2 linked regions of the Drosophila melanogaster genome follow. The gene in region 1 interacts genetically with each later gene. Each region holds a gene or a part of one and is shown on either strand. Other genes may lie near its edges.

Evidence for each region. Genes that interact genetically often act in the same process or in processes that back each other up.
Region 2: of Pgant4 (region 1) and Tango1, changing one suppresses a phenotype caused by changing the other (phenotypic suppression), as found in Drosophila melanogaster (one study listed by BioGRID).

The regions. Positions count from the first base shown.
Region 1 is NT_033779.5:3,469,578-3,476,852, reverse strand, and holds Pgant4 (polypeptide N-Acetylgalactosaminyltransferase 4), read right to left. Parts: upstream 4,251-7,275; 5' UTR 4,051-4,250; coding exon 3,551-4,050; intron 3,492-3,550; coding exon 3,149-3,491; intron 3,084-3,148; coding exon 2,655-3,083; intron 2,586-2,654; coding exon 1,923-2,585; 3' UTR 1,515-1,922; downstream 1-1,514. Other genes in the region: CG31776 (uncharacterized protein), read right to left, coding at 4,528-5,187, 5,294-5,716, 5,777-6,119, 6,173-6,639; Pif1 DNA helicase, read left to right, coding at 6,959-7,275. UniProt on the Drosophila melanogaster protein: Glycopeptide transferase involved in O-linked oligosaccharide biosynthesis, which catalyzes the transfer of an N-acetyl-D-galactosamine residue to an already glycosylated peptide.
Region 2 is NT_033779.5:6,646,034-6,656,120, reverse strand, and holds Tango1 (transport and golgi organization 1), read right to left. Parts: upstream 6,734-10,087; 5' UTR 6,589-6,733; coding exon 6,441-6,588; intron 6,335-6,440; coding exon 4,226-6,334; intron 4,114-4,225; coding exon 3,677-4,113; intron 3,625-3,676; coding exon 3,492-3,624; intron 3,369-3,491; coding exon 2,744-3,368; intron 2,687-2,743; coding exon 2,585-2,686; intron 2,527-2,584; coding exon 1,788-2,526; 3' UTR 1,547-1,787; downstream 1-1,546. Other genes in the region: CG31633 (uncharacterized protein), read left to right, coding at 1-1,051, 1,108-1,224; CG31635 (uncharacterized protein), read left to right, coding at 9,453-10,087. UniProt on the Drosophila melanogaster protein: Required for protein secretion. May participate in cargo loading by binding to COPII coat subunits and guiding SH3-bound proteins into a growing carrier.

The DNA.
Region 1 (7,275 bases):
GGACAATTTTGCCGTGTCATCTAGCACGTAGTCCACAGCATAGAAACCGCCCTACGTGCCGGCTGATATGTTTATATATTTTATTTTTTGGGTGAGAGAGCGGCTCTTCTCCGCATTTTCCACCTCCATTAGGGCTTATCAACCCTCGAAGAAACCAGTTCGGATTTTGCTTTCGTTTTCATCAGATACAATATGATGTACCTGCGCAAAGAGAGAGAGACAGGCCTATAGCCGCGAGGAAAGAGACGGCAGGCAGTTTTCCTACTGCGTTGCAGCCAAGTTAAAATGCGTCTTGAGATATTCCTAGCCGGTTCTCTAAGCGCCGAGGGGTGTTTTTCCCATCCGCCGGGGGACAGGTAATACATACGTACATATATAGTGAAATTCGGATGAAATCTTTTTCGGGGAGGCTGATGAAATTGCACCATCGAATTGCGTGAAACATACGGACGAACGGTGGGTCATTACCATCGGTGGGTTCTATTCCCAAACGAGTCTGAGATGGTTGTGAATGGGCTAGACGACATCGACTTGTTTATATTTTTCGGCTAGAGCGAAAACCATGAGAAACGTAAACAAAAAAGTCCAATGATATTTATATACTCTGCCAAATACACGTGGTAATCAAATCAATGAATGTGCTGTATTATTGCAATATAATATAAAGGTATTTAGGACTATGTATTGTGGTTTACCAATTCAAATTATTTATAGAGTGAATATCATATAGCTTATTATCTACCCATCCTACTTAAGATGGAAATCACATTTTATTCAGTGGTAAGTAAGTTTCCAAGAAAACTCGCAGATATACAAGTACTACTTGACCATTTTTGTTATCTATTACCAAACGCCCATCAACAAGTGAACTGCCCTAACAAAGGGAATCTTCCGAAGCAAATAAGACCCCCATCTCCGCTGACGTCGATGACCCACATTCGGTGAATCCGATTGAGAAGCGGCGTCGCCGTCGCGTTGGCCAAAAAATCAAATCACTTGACTTTGTTTATGCACAAAATATGAAAAGCGACGAGAAAAAAAATGCGGAGGAAATGAGCAAAACAACATCACGTTGTCTATAAATTAGCATGTGCTTTCGTTTGGTAGATAATGAACTGCATAGATAAGGATAAAGCCAGCCCAAGATCGAGACAGCTTGACGCTAAGTCATTGCCTGCTGCCATCCATCCACATTCATCCAGGGATCTTCGATCTTCGTCCTCTCCTGGGACAATCGCGCAACTGCGTCTTAAATTACATCAGCTTAACAATATGTCTGGTTTTTTTTTTTTTTTTGGTGATCTCGGACTTCAGACCTCGGAGGGGTGGGAACTTCTCTAGTCTATCTGGTGTCTGCTACCTCTTACCGACTCCTCTTTCTCCTTTTGTAGAAAGGTCAACAGCCCTGCTGATAAGGTTTTGCGACAGTCGAAAATTCAAATCGGAAGTGAAGAAGTACTACAGATGCTCTCACTACATCGATTACATCTATATTATATAAAAAGAAAATGTTTAAGGTATTTATTGATTCTACAATACACTTGTAACTTTTATTATTGTTTAATTTCACATAGTTACGATCTCTTAACTTTACAAGTAGTCGAGGATCTCTTCGAAACATTAATACCTAAATATAGTGTACGTACAGCAAATAAAGATCAGAGTTTGTGGCTCGCGATCGGACAGAATCCTCGCTCCGATTGCGATCTGCCTGTCCAGATCTTTCACTTTCCGCTGCCATATATCAATAATGCATGGGGCAAGAATTAATGGAAAAATGGAATTTACTTAGCGAACTTTTTTTTTCAGAAACCTTCACAACGAACAATGAACTAAACCCGTGACGATCGCGGTCCCCGACCTGAACCGATCGACATCTGGCCTGTGGTTACTCGAATTGTTAGTGGCTCGTGGATGAAAGTCTACTTTAATCCATCGTAGAAGGTGTCCAGCATAGTGTGGTTCACGAATCCGAACTCCCAGCGCTGGCGATCGTTGCCATTCTCGCAGGAATTGGCCACCACCTTGGCTATGCCGTTCTCCACAAATCCCTCCAGGCAGCGCTTGTTGTTCTCTCCGTGAACCAACCTTTGGGTTTGCCTGTCATAGTACCAGAACTGATTGCCACCCTGACTGTGGCAGCTCCACATCCAAACGGTGGCATTCGGCGGTCCCTCGTGCACATCCAGGCACACTGAATCGAAGCCCTTCATCCGGAGGTCTCGGAATATGGAGAGCTCCCAAAACTGATTCGGTTGCGGATGGGTCCTATTGTCCGCACAGCTGAACATACCCACCGCCTCCTCGGTGGACTTGCCCATGTTGTCCAGGCAATAGACCGGGTTGGCCACGTTCTGAATGATGCCGGCGGCGTAGCTAGGTGGTTCCACGGGCGGGAATTTGACGAGGAAATCAGGCGCCACCTCCGTCATGAACCAGTGGAAACTCTTGCACTTGAGTCGCTCTCGAACTCCACGCTGGCGGGTCAGATCTCCGGCATCCAGGTTGTCATAGGTCTTCGGATCGCGTTTGTACACATATTGCTTATACTCATCCATCCAAACCTCTGCCACGCGCTTGTGGTTCTAAATGAGATTTAAAACCAAATATAATTAGAATTAAAAAAGTAGAACTGGTTAGAGAGTAGCACCCACCTTGGCCACAAAGTTGTGTCCCCTTGGATTGCCCCTTGGCTTCATGGGTCCCCGGAATATGTGTGCCACCCTCGAGCAGGGAACATCCAGCAGCATACCGCCACACATCCAGATCTTGAAACTCAGCTCGTACTGCTCACCGCCCCAGATGTCCAACTGGTCGTCGTATCCGCCCAGATCCCAAAAGAAGTCCGTGTTGATGGCAAATAGACCGCCCATCATCACGGGACTCCGGTACGGCATGGACTTGTCCAGCGCATCTTCGGGCAGAACCGGAAGCTGTTTGTACAGCATCTTCCAATCGAATCCACCTCGTGCTCCGTCCTTATTTCCGCTAAAGTAAGAGAAATCTTCATGCGAAATAGTATCCACCATGGGGCAGGTGGAGATCTTGGGATTAATGGCAATGGGTTCGATCAGGGGAGGCAGCTGTAAATATAGCAACATAGAGTATTCTTCTGTATCCAAACATATTGCTTACTAGAAAATCCTACCCAATTGTAGTTGACTTCTATGTGAGAATCAAAGAACACCATCACTTGTCCCACTGCCACCTTGGCTCCAGCTATTCTGGCTCCAATTAGACCTTGTCTCTCCGGATTGCGCACTATAGTCACCAGATGTGGAAAGTGCTGCTGGACGTAGTCGTCCAAAGGCTGCTTCAGAACATCCCACTCGCTGCCATCGTCCACGAGCACAATTTGCTTAAGTAATTCCGGTGGAGTGCGATTTATCACACTGTATATCGATCTCAACAGGGTGTTAAAGTGCTCGTTGAAGAAGATGAAAATCACGCTGATATTGGGCAACTTGGCCAGATACTTCCGGGTCTTGCAACTGTAAAGATAAGATAAGTGTTTTAACTATTGATAACACGCTATGGGGAATGTACTTACGCCTCGAGTCTGAGGTCTGGCACAGATCGATTGACGGAGATTCTATCCGATATGAGGCCATTAAAGCCGTTCATCTCGTAGTGCTCCTTTTCCAACTGCTTCTCATCGGGATTTTCGATCTTTACGGCTACTCCGTGCTCACCGAAACCGGATCGCTTTCTATCCGCCTCCATGGCCGCATAGTCGTGCCAATCCTTGCGCTCTCCCTTCGGTTCCGGTAGTCGGAATCCCTGGAGTTTGTCACTTCTCGGAATATCTACCACGGAGTTGCGATCCTGAAATGGTGGTCGTGGCGCTTTCCGAGTTGGATGTATATTGGCAGCCCTAAAAACGGGCGTTATGGGATCTCCATTCGGATCGAGTTGTTCCGTCAGCTCCGCCGCATTTTTCATTCGCCGTTCGACCACCAAAGTGGTGACCAAGGACACAGTGACGATGACCACCAAGAGGAGGACCACCTTGCGCAACAGGCGCTTTACATATCTCTTTTTTATGGCCATGTGGACGTCTTGGCGGCGGAAGTCCAAAATACTGACTGCTGGCATGCCGATGCAGCAGAGGAGCAGCCACCTGGCAAAAAGCACAGCCATTAGTGTAATTGGGAAACCGCGACTCAGTGATAAGGCGGCGAAGAAGTTTTCACATTTTCAGTTGGCCACAAAAAACACGCTTCTCCACTATCAATCAGTGGCAGACGAGTCGGCTGCCCGGTGACGTGTAAGGTCAGGCCCAGATCCCACACTCACCTGAGAAAAAGTCGGGCGAAAAGAACAATAATATACGAAATATCTCTGCATGCGAATTCAAATTAGCGGAGCGCGCGTCATGGTGGCGCCATCTGCACAGGCACTCTTTGAACTGGGCTGGGGATTGGCGTGAGCGCCATCTGTATCTGAAGGCATACTTTCATATAAGGCAAAATTCGTATCTAAAATTGTATTTAAATATTTATTTTAATAATTGCTGTGCTATACATATTAATGAGGCTCCCTTTGTGGATCATATGGCGCATTTCGCCCAACTTTCCACTGCTGTTCCAGTTGGTTTTTATCGCAGATTTTATTGGCCAGAACCTTGCCAACCTTATGACCACTAGCCAATTGGGCTTCCAGGCACCACACCCATATTTGGCCCTGTTGGATCCACCGATGACGGTGATTGTAGTACCAGTACTGATTCCCACCATTTTTGTGACAACGAAAGAGCCACACCGACTTTGAGCGTAGGCCCTGCGCTTCCAAGCAATCATCTTTGCTGTTCGTCAGTTGAATCTCATGATCCTGCGTTAAGGACCAGTTCTGATGCTCGCCGGGCATTGAATTATGCCCAGTGCACCGGGCTAAAACCACGGGCTTAGTGTGTCTACAATTCAGGGAGTCCACACAGAATCCAGGAAATGCCACACTTTCAATGACCCCGGAGAAAACCAAAGGCGAATCCAATGCTAGGTACCTTTTAAGAAAATCCGGAGCCACCTTGGTCATGTACCAATCGAAGGTCTTGCACTCCAGAGCATTTCTCTTGGTTTTCCTTTGGAAAAGCAGACCAGCATTGGCCATCTTATAGAGCTTCGGATTCTTGTCGTACACATACTTTTTGTAATTATCCATCCAAACTTCAGCTACTCGCTTGTAGTTCTAGGGAGAGATCCTCTTATTAAATTATGTTGTAATATTCTTAATAGGTTAAACAATATATTACGTATACGCCACCCCCCATGTTTTGAGTTGTTTTTCCACTTACCCTGGCCAGAAAATTGTGGTATCCTGGACTACTAATCGATTTCATGGGTCTTTTACCTATGTGACCCACCCGGGCGCAAGGTACATACAGCATCATTCCACCACACATCCAGACCTTAAAACTTATCTCGAACTTCTCGGCTTCCCAGGTGTCCAGCTGCTCATCAAATCCCCCCAGATTCAAGAAATAGTTCCTGTCAATCGCCATAGCTCCTGATAAAACCGGTGTACGGTAGGGTGTGGAATCAGGACTTTTATCCTCAGGAAAAATTGGTAAGCTCTCAGACTCAAGCCACCAATTGAAACCGGAGCGAGTCATCGTATTTTGTTTGGCATAGGCAAATGTCTTGCGTGAGATGGCATCCAAAATGGGACGGGTGACTATATGTGGGTTAATAACTATAGGTTCCAGCAAGGGAGGCAACTATAAAGTAGGAAATTATCTAGATTTATCCACATTAATTGATTCCTTTTTAAATATTACCCAATTGGTGTTGACTTCGATGTGGGAGTCTAGAAAGACCAAAACTTGACAGCTGGACACCCTGATTGCCTCCATTCTCGCTTTGATGGAACCACGTCGTTCTGGAAGTCTTAGTATGTGAATAATTTTCGGAAAGTTTTGAGCCACAATCTCTTCCAGTTGTTGTCCCAATTCCGGCAAATTACTATCGTCATCCACGAGCACAATCTGCTTGAGTAACTCAACAGGAGATCGATTTATAATGCTCGTTATAGATCTTAGCAAAACGCTTAGGTGTTCATCGTGAAAGGCTATTATCACTGTCACATTGGGTAGGTTCTCCAGATACTTCCGTTTCCGGCAACTAAGTTCTTAGTCTTTAAATTGTATAGTATTTTAAACTTCATAGGAACTAACCTTATAGGTCTGGTATCCGGCAAGGATCTGTTCAGGGGAATGCGATCGGAGAGTTCGGCATAGAAGTCTTGGAAATCATCGGGGTTTAATTTAGCGTTTGGTAACTGAACTGCTCTTCCCTGCTCACCCAATCCCCTGCGGTTACTATCCTCTTTAAAGAAAATCGCATCCTGCCACTCCTTAATAGCTTCTTGCTGGGGCAGGCGGAAACTATTGTTTCGCTGGATCTTTAAGATGTCCAGTTCAGTTTGGTTCAGTGTTAGTGGTGGTGGGAAATCTGCGACCTTCGGGCTGATCTCCCTTTTTGGGAGCTGCCTTGCTGGCAAACTATCCTTTTCGCCGGTTGTTTTGACCATGGACTTCACGAGTCTTCTGTGTATCTGCTTGCCCATTAAAATGGTAGTTACCAAGGAAGTCAATAGAATGGCCAGCAACAGGCGCACAATCAATCTCAGATCCACATTCATGGTGATATTTCTTAATTAGTGTGCAATTGAAAGTTATAGGCATAGCAAATTACTTTTCCTGGCCTACTTGTTTTGTAATCCTTAAATGTAGCAATTTAAATTGTAACGGAATTGTAACACAGCTGATCCTGGAGTGGAACTTTGCTACTTTATAACATACTTGTGCACGATCATGATGCGTTCACGCCATCCGATGTGATATCGATAATTTTACGCTGATATCGATAAGCCGATCGGCGACCAAGCGCATGGAAAAGATTTGGCTTTTGTATTTAATTTAATTTAATCGGAAACTGACTGAAGTGAAGTTAATTTCGCCATGGATCTCAATGACGCAGTGCTCACCTGTGCGGTGAACATGGAGTGGACCAATGCGGTGGGCATCACGGGTCGCAAACTGGCCTACAAGACTGCCACATTGCGCCTGGTGCGGAACGATTTGCGTGAATTGTTTGTTGAGGTGACGCCGGAGAAACTAAAGCCCCTGAAGTTCAAGCTGAAGGATCTGATGGTGCACAAGAAGTTCATGTCCGAGGGCAAGGCCACCTTCAACTTCAAGGCGGAGAAGTGCACCCTCTATCTATCGAATGCACCGCCGGGGACTTTGATGTTCTTCCTGCGGACGATCTTCGTTAA
Region 2 (10,087 bases), 3.2 Mb from region 1:
TCTGGAGGATCAGCTGAAGCTGTGGAAGAGTTCCGAGCCCGCATCGCGACTGAGATCGCTGATATCCTACATCTGGCAGCGCAATCGGGAATATACCATTGACTATTATACATTCAATGACGACTATGAGCTACTGAACGAATTCCTGCAGTGCATTCGCTTCACGGTGACGGAACTTACACTCCAATACCTAGCCATGGATCACCTGGAGCGGTGGAAGGGTCACACCTTCCCCAACATGCGTCAATTGATCTACTTGGGCGATGAGACCAGTGAAATAGAAGGAGACGCCGACATCGCCATTCTGGTGGACTGCTTCCCGCAGCTGGAAGCCATCAGGCTGAGCGGGAAGACTACTGGTAACCACATCAGTCGTTGGCGGAACATTCGCCGACTGGACCTTCAGCTGTGCTGGTACCTGAGCCCGCAGGGCTTCGAGGATATCTGTCAAAACCTGCGACTACAGACACTCAGTATCCAGTGGCAAAAGATCGAACAGAATGCATACGTGCGATCCATCTGTATGCTGCATGAACTGGAGGAGCTGGAGCTGGACATAGTTTACCTAAACAGGGACAACATCAGCCAACTGTTGAGCCTGCCTAAACTGATAAAGCTGCGCCTGCACAACTTCTACCAGGTGGACGATCTACTGTGCGAAATTGGAAGCATAAGGGGTCAAGATGTGTTGACTGCCGCATTCAGTAATAATATCTGGATGAGGCCAACGGAGGTGCTGGCCAAACTGCGAAATCTCCGATGTTTAACTCTCGTCGATGATGAAGGATGTGCTGCCATTGACTTTTCCACGATCACCTATTGCTTTCCGCTCTTGGAGCAACTGCATCTGGAGAACTCGCGTATATGGGTCAACGCCGATGGTATATGGGACGTGCTTCTTGCCTGTCCCCGTCTCAGGGAATTCAGCATGATCAACCATGTTTTGTACGACGAGTTCTTTGCCTTCAGCAAGTCAACAATGAACCGCGCTCTAAATCAGCGAACGAAGCCTTTGAAAATGCATTTTTATAAAACCGGCAAGGATGACTTGGTGCGTACATAACTGATTTATAAAGTACTGATCCTAAAACTCATACTCTTTCGCAGGTTTCGAAGCACTTTAAACATCCCAAACTTAATGTTTCCTTCAGTGCTACTAGTAGCAGCTATTCACAATTACCTGACGAATGTATTGAATTGGAATTTAAACGCCCCGAGTCGTGATTCACTAAGTTAACTAGCTTAGTTAACTATTATCTAAACGGACCAAAATTGTGCTATTTAATTGATAAGTCTTTCGTCGATAAGCTGGTTATTAAAATGATTGCTGATAATAATATATAAATATAATATAAAAATATAAACCGGTTCTAAGTTCGTGTATTCAATTATTTGTAGTTTTCAATAAATGATGTATAATACATAATCTTACCTCTCAGAAATTAATATCATATTAAAAATGTGCCATGCTGATTATTTAAAAATGTTTGTTCAGAGAAAATGAATATTTTTCAATTCCACAGTAAAAACAGCTCACATTGGATTTGTGTTTGTCATTGCGTTTAATTTGTTTCAATTTTCTTGGATATCATTCACCGCTGAGACAGGAGTTTTCTTAGTTGTTCACGAACTCTCCTGAGATCCCTGTTTTGGGGAATCGGTTTGAGAGGTCGTCCCGACCCGCCCCGATCCCACCGTTCGATAATCGTTGATTAATAAATATATTTGAACTAGTTTTGAGTCTAATATACTTGGTAGGACTTGGTTGCACGGGCACACCCTGCTCCTCATACCTCGCTGTAGGGTCGCGATGTCGCGCTGCGTCCCGACGGAACGGGCGGCGGACTTGGGGGCGGACTGAAGTCAGTCTCCGTGTCATTGTAGTTGTACCGACTGTCCGACGGTGATAGCGAGCGATATGTGCGCGGCGAGTGGCTGTAGGAGCCGCGATGCCGGCGACCCCAGCTGCCGCTGTGCCGTCGACGACGGTCCATGCCCCGGTCGTCCTCCTCATCGTCGTCGTAGTCATCGTAGTCGCTGTAGTCTGAGTAACGCTCTCGATCCCGATCGCCGCGACTCGAGGGCGGCGGAGAGCGCATGCGTCCCAGGGGCGGAGGACGTGCCCCTCCCGCTCCAGTTGGAGGCAGGAATGGCGGCGGCAGACCCATGAACGGTGAGAAGGGTGCCGCCAGGAATGGCAGTGGATTTGGCATGTTCAGCAGTGGTGAACCCGGCAAGGGAAGCGGCGATGGAGCCGTTTTCAGTTCCGCCCCCAGCACGGAAGTTCCGTTGGCGGCGATGGCCTCCATTACGCCTGGATCTCCGCCTACTCCTCCTCCGCCGCTGGCCATTGTGGTCAGCTTACGCCTCAGGCTGGCAGCTTCGGCCAACGCTTCTTCGCAACGGCGCTCCGACTGGCGCGCTGCCAGCCAGGACTCATGAGCTCGGTTCTCCAGCGTGCCCATCTGAGCTTTGTGCGAGGCTATCTGGGCCTCGATCTCGGCACGCAGCTCGTCATTCTGAGATCTAAGGCGAAATGGATTTTAACATTTCTTGAAAGCGATAATGCGCGATTTTGACTTACTTCAGAGTTTGGATTTCGTTCTTCATCAGCGTCTGGGTCTCAACTGTGCTGGCATTCTCTCCCTGGTGCTGCAGCCACTTGGTCTCCTGCAGACTAAGTTCTCTGAAATGGTAATTAAGAGATAAAGACTTTCCTCAAATGTGTTTCTTGATAAACTACTTCTTAAGATCGTTCTCCTTCTCCCTGAAGTAGCCGGATAAGACTTCAAGACGCGTCTGGGCTTCTAGCTTATCGCGCTCTGATTGGTTGAAGTCCTGCTTCAGCTGCTCCACATCTTGACTTGACTGCTGCAGCTGACTCTCCAGACGTTGCTTGTGGGCCTCTTCTTGCTCCACCTTCGACTGCAACTCGACCAGCTTCTTATGGACCGCGTTGAGTTCACCGCGTGTCTTGGCCGAGGTAATCAGCTCTTGGACATTGTGGATCGCATCCTTTCCGACTGCCTTCAGGCAATCTTCGAGAGCTTCGATCTTTGCTAGACTGGTCTGCAGATCGCCATGTTCGCGCTCCCACTTGACAGTCAGCTCAACAATCTGATTCTGCAGCTTTTGCATTTCGTAATTTCTGGCTTCCAGTGCCTTGGCCAATTCCGATTCCGTTTCAGCCTGAATTTCCTGAAGACGAGTTTGCAGCTTAGACTTCTCCATCTCCAACTCGTAGTTGTCCTCTTGTAGCGTCTTCAGCTCGCTGTTGAGCCGAGTCGTGGCCTCCGTAAACGTATACTGCAGTTCGCTGTTCTCCCTACTTTTCTCGGCCAGACTGTTGTTGATTTCGATGATGATCTCTGCAAAAGTTATGGAGTTAGAATCTGCATTGAACAGGAAACTGCTTTGGATACTAAATGGTTAAATAAGTAGTCATCAAAAAGTCACATTAGTATAAGTATTAATCAACGGCGGTTCCTCACTTTCTTGGTCATTAAGCTGTCGCTGCAGTTCGTCGACGGTGCTCATGAAAGCCTCATCGCCATTCTGACCGTTAAGGACTTCGGACAGCATCTTGTTGAGCTCCAGGCCAGCCTCAGCCGCGTTATCCAGATCCTTGTAAAGAGATCCTTGTAAGCGTTTATTTGATTAAATAATATGGACCTACCCTTTCTAATGAGCCAACCTGTTCCTGCAGCTTAGCCTTCTCGTACAGCTCAGATTCAAGTTGCTTCTTGAGATCGGCCACCATGTCGTTTGAGCCGAAGGAATTGTCCTCAATGCTGGCCAACTTTGTTCGCGTAGTCATCAGGTCGTGTTTGATGATCAGGTTCTCCTTGTGGGAGGCCAACAGACTGCGCTCCAAATGGTTCAGCTTCGAAAGAAGCGCTCCCTCCTGACTACTATTGCAGAAGCAGTAGTATGCAAACATGAAGAACAAGGAAGAAATCGCGGCGATAACCACGCAAAGTAAAAGTTGGCTGTGGTCAACCAGCTTGTCGGCCATTACTTCAACAAAATTATCAAGAGATATAGAGCGATGACAGTGCTCATCTTTGGCTTGAAACCGGGCACAATATCCATCCACATCGGCAGGAGCAAAGTCTGGAATATGTAAAAAAAAAGGTATAGTATGTAACAAAACCGGACCGGATATTCTCTCTAATTTCTGAAGAATCGTATGGTAATAATGATTTAGTAAATGAATAAGCATCACCTTCCGCCTTCCTTTGAGAAGGTGGCACTTCAGGCCTTCCTGGATAGAGGATTCTATGCAATTCATCGCTGCTATCTGCTGGATCACTCTGAGGATCCTTTCCGATAAAATTGTTTACGGTGTCGACAATTGTGGCAAAGAGACCAAAGCCTGCGGCGTCCTCCTTGATAGGTACTTCCGACACGGGGCTAGCCGTCGCTGGCAGAGCTACAGGCTCCACGTAACCAACTCCCTCACGATGGTTATCCGTTTGGGATGCTTCTGTGGTCTCCTCCTGGACTGCTGCGTACGGTGATTCGGCGTCAGGCGTTGGAGTTGTATGTGATGCAGTCGATGGATGATTAAAGGCACTTTCTGTATGATGATGGTGCTGCTGATATTGCTCTGGCTGCTGCCTATTGTTGTTATCAACGATTTCGTTGGACTGCGAATCCACAGAGTCATTAAGCTGCTGCATGTTGGCTTCCTGAACGCTCAGTTGTGGCTCCGCTTCCTCACTTGAGCGCTGCAGCTGCTCTGATTCTTCGTGTAACCTTTTCTGTTTCTCGGCTTCTTCGAGTAACCTTTTATTCAGCTCAGCTTCCTCTTGCAATCTCTTCTGCTGCTCCGCTTCCTCTTGTAACCTTTTCTGTTGCTCGGCTTCTTCGAGTAACCTTTTATTCAGCGCAGCTTCCTCTTGCAACCTCTTCTGCTGATCCGCTTCCTCTTGTAAACGCTTTTGCTCCTCCGCCTCTGCAACTAGTCTCTGTTTTTCCTGTTCCTCCTGCAATTGCTTGTAATAATTATTGGGATTCTCAAAGTTCTTCTTTTCAAAGAGGGGCGGCAGACCAACAGGATCTGCTTTCTGTGGTGCCTCTTCAACGACAGGAGCGGGAGTGGTTGAACTGATTACTGACTCAGATGGCGCTTTTATTTCCGCATCAGATTGAGCAACAATAGGTTCGGTAGGGTTAACTGTTGCAGGCTTTGCTTGGATTTTAGCTGAAACCGGAACTATTTCTTCATTAATTTTATCTTCGACAATCGTTCGTGGTGGCTCAGCCACAGTTTCGGTGACCTCCTCAACTGGCAGAGGATCTGACGACTTTAATTCCACGGCTGCATCCAGTACCTGCTTCGGAAATTCCTTCTGATCAATTTGCTCTTCGAGTGCCGTCACATTTAAGGTCTCAGTGGGTAAGGAAGAATCTTCCTGCTTGGAGACTTCCATTTCTGCATGCTTTTCTTTAGTCTCATCCTTTGAATCCTCCACTTTATCTGTTTTCTTCAGTTGCGCGACCGAAAGTGGTTTCAGTTCAATCGATTCGTTAATTGATTTGTTATCGTTTGCTATCTCTACGATCGATTCGTTATCTTGACTACCTTGTTGGGAGTCGTCATCTGTCTCGTCATCCCCGTAATCGAAATCGTCAGCGTCTTCCAGTTCAGCGTTGATAGCCTGGGGCAGTGGGGGAGGTTTCTCAGCTTCTGTGGCAGGTTGCTGTGCTTTTGGCTCTTCCTGCAATTTAATGGCCTCCGAATTTAATGCCTGTGGCTCTTTCGTATCAACAACTGTCGAGTCGAGATTTGTTGCTTCTTGGGGGTCTGCTGCCGTCTCTGGAACAATGCTACCTTCCGTTGTAGCTGCAATGGCCTCCAGGGGAAGCTCAGTTCCTTCTATAACCTGCACTTGGGCCTTGGAAGCCGCAGTAGGATCAGGAACCTGCTGATCCTGCAGCTTGTCGTGCTCAACCACTATTGAATCAACGGCTATCTCAAGTGGTGACGTTGTAGTCGTTGCCAGATCATCGGTTGACTCAGAGGCGTTAAGAACAGGCTGCACTGTCGTCTCGACGCTCTGAACTGGTGTCTCCACTGACTGCACTGGACTACCAGGTCCCACCACTGGCACCTCGTACAATAGATCCTTATCCCGGACGAGGATCTTCTTTTCCATGATAAAGTCCTTATTGGCATAGCCGCGCCGCCCATTGATGTCCACACCCCACAGTTGCATATTGGAACCGGCGCTCTTGGACAGGACGCGGATGGGGGAGTTGATTTTGAAGGATATCAGCCCCTCACCACCAATGGCGTAGGTGATTTTGGCAATGCCCATCGAAATGATTTCTGCAAGCATAAACCAGACAAACGCAAAATTAATTATGCAATTTTAAGAGACATGGCTGTGCCGGAGGTCCAAGGCTGACTTGTCTGGCCATAGATTACAACTTACGTTCACATTTCGGGTCGGCGCACAGTCGCTTGTCGGAGAGAGTCGCAGCCCACGTCAAAGTTGGAAGACAGCAGATCAACAGGCCCAGGACCAGGGCCAAATCACTCAGCTGGGGCTGCATTGTTGCTTTCTCGTTGGTCAGCCGCATTTTGCATTGTTTTCGGGGCGCAGTGGTCGTGTGAAATCAACTTATTTCGCTGCAGCTACTAATTTTTTGTGTATAAAAATGGGTTCACTTTCAGCTGAGTTGGCTTTTCATTCGTGTGACCGTACTGGGTGCGCCAAGGAATGCTGTGTGGCCTCAGAAAAATACCGAAATAGGAAAGGGGCATTTCGGGTCTGTTTCAACTATTCCACAGATATGATTTATTATCAAATCTTATTGCTGTATTTAATGGCCTTTGAAATTTATATGTTTTAAATACATTCTGTTTAAGTTATCTGAATTCTAGTTCACAGTATCTGCTATCTTTTTCGACTCAGTGCGAATGCCATATACTATGCGCGCCAGATAGCGTTGTGCGAAATAACTCAGATATAGAGAACTTGGAGCAGTTGGTAACACTGGCCAGAGCTCGTAAATTGTTTCGCCAGTTTCGCGGCTCCATCGGAGGAAATTTTGTAAACCCAGTAACTAAATTTGAGTGCGAAGTAAGCCTCTTCACTTTGAATAATCCTAATGCTCGGTTTCGGAACGCTCTGAGTGCTGCAGTGGGTGGCAAACGACAGGACTATGTGCGTGTGTGTGGCTGGAAAACTTCAGCAGTGACCTTGAAAATTGAAGTTTGTTTTTTTTTTCCTTTATGCACTTCACCCGAAAATGTAACGCGCAAAATTTGGGCTAGCTTTTTAGAAAAAAGTCGCCGGTGTCCAACAAAGTACTCAGTGAAAGCTGGCGTATTGGATTCCAATTTATTATTACCTTACGAAGTGTACGGAAAAAGGTTTCCTCTGACATCATATTGTGGAATTCAGAGAGCGATTAAGAGAGCAGCGGATAACTTTGTGTGATATGCCCGATAATGTAGCCTTAAAACCAATAACTTGTGCAGTTTATAATTAAGATGCTAATTTAAGTGAAAATCCGGGAGCATGTGTACAGAAACTTATTGTTTTGATGTTGTATGTTGCTTGCGATTTAAGGGAGTGTGAGCGAGAGGGTGCGTGAAAAGAGCACACGTGGAGGGGTTGCCAGATCGTCGGCAGAGTTTAAAATGGCTTACACGTCGCCAATTCAAAAAATTTTTAAAGAACTAAAACTATAATAGGGCTATTATTTTTAGCTCAGTTTTAATTCAATCACTTTTATTAATTATAATAATCAATGTCCAGTTATTGGAAAAACGGTCTTGCTTCAGAATATGCTTGTTTTGAAATTATTGGTGTTAACGTATTTCGATCGTAATTCGTAATTTCATGAAATTCAAGAATTCTAACTTAGCATAAACAGTCCTTTATCACAAACCTGCGTGCGGGCAGTCTGGCAACACCGCCCGTTGGACACAGCATGAAAATGCGCAACTCAGTTTCTATTTCTATCTTTCGCATTTTCAACGTCTTTGTGATCGGTTGTTGTTGGGTCGCGGATGCCTAATGGTCGATAGCTGCACGCTATGCTGAATGGAGCGCGGTTCTGTTAAATGCCCTATAAAACGCCACATAAACTGATTGGCTGCACAAAGAGTAATCCTTCGCCAAAAGTTGTATAACAAAAAAAAGAAGAGATTTGGGTGCGTGGAAACAAAGTGCGCCAAGCCTTGGTGCGTAAAATCAAATACAAATATCTTGACCGAAACTGATAAAAGTGGAGAGCAAAAGAAACACGGAAATCAAAGAAAAACTTCGCAAAAAACATTAACAACTCAGTAGTCCTCCGACATGCGTGACGTAATTTGTGTATTTATTCTAAAACAAAATTCGAGGAAAAGTGAGCAGTAAGAGCGTGCAATTGTTTGTCCCTTTCGACTGCCTGTGTAATTACCAATTGCAATTTGCCTTTTAATTTGAGTTTTGCATGCAACAGGGCGCGTGTTATTCCCACAAAAATACACACTCACACTTGCACGCAGTACAGCCGCACACACACCCACACTTGCAGAGGCACGTAAACAAAAATGCGAAAAGTGCAGAGGGGAAAAGCGATAACAAACAACAATCGCAAACAATCTGCGACTGGCTTTTCTCGATTTTCCCTCTCCCTCTGGCTCTCTCTTTTGCTTCTCTGGCAATGCAAACGCAAACAAAAACAATAACAATTAGGTAATGTTTTTTATACCATTCTCTTTTGCTCTCTTGCTTCGTGTTTGATAGTGTGCGTTTGCTCTGCGCTTTTTGTCTCTTTTCTTAATATTCCATTTTCTTTTGTTAACATTGCACAGTGGGGTGAAAAGAAATTAGTCGGAAGGGTTAAAGACTGATATTACAGATAATAAATAACACTGTGTTAAAATAAACACGGCTTAACTGTAAATCAAATAAAAAAAGTGAGAAGTGAGAAAAGTGAAGCAGTTACATTCATTACATTACAGAATGATGTACAGTTTTGGACCAACTGTGGCTGGGCCCACTGTGCGTTCGAAACGGCGGAAATTTTTGAGCGGAAAATTTTTTGTGTTTTGTAAAACTGGCCCCTGCTGATTACTCGATGCGTTTGACAAATTCGAACATTACTTTGTAGGCGAGCGGCATACAAATCGCTTTGAAATTAATTTGCTTTTGATATTCAATTTGTAGTGTTGAAATAAAAAAGAATAATACATTAAAGCATTCGAAAATGTAAACGGGAAGCGCACGTTTGAAGCACAAACAACAAAAGTAACAAAAAAATACGAATAAAATACGATACCAAATCGTGTTGGTGTGTGTAAATAAAGTGTATTTAAATGTAAAACATAACAAAACAAAACCAAAACAAAAAAAAAAAGAAAAATAACTACGAGTTCGAGATATTCTGCAAACTTGAAAAGCGACAAACTTGAAAACGACAGCGGCAACTGAAAACGCTTTGCAACAATGCTGCACAACAATCGCGACATTGCAGAGCCAAACACAACAACAACAGCAGCAACAGCTACCCCAATCACAACAACAACTGCAGCAGCAGCAACAACAGAAGGCAATGGAACGGAGCCAACAATTGCCACGCACCTTGCAACAACATCTGCTGCTGCAGCAAAGACATCAGCTGGCGTAGGGGAAACAAGTGCAACAGCTGAGGGTCAAACACCAGCAACAACAACAACAGCAGCTGTGGCAGAGCGAACGAAATTAGCACAAACAGCTGATGCGACTGCTGCGCCGATCGTTGATGCGACTGCTGCTGCGGCTGCAGCTACTGAAGCGACCGCATTCGATGCTCAGATGCGAACGCAGCAACGACACAAGATCAAGATATACCACGATGCCAAGCAGACGGCCGTGTGGCGCACCGATTCGCTGGCCTCCAATCCCAGCTCGACCATCTGCCCGGATTTCGTCAGTTCGGGATCAGGAGGTGTTGCAGGTGGTGTCGGTGGCACTGTCGCTGGCGGAGGAGTCACTGGAGCCCTGGGCCTGCCCCCCAGGGGCATCATCCTGTCGACGGCGCCCAGCCTCCTGCAGCGAAAATCATCGGACAGCTCGCTCACCTCGTCCATTGCGCGACGCGT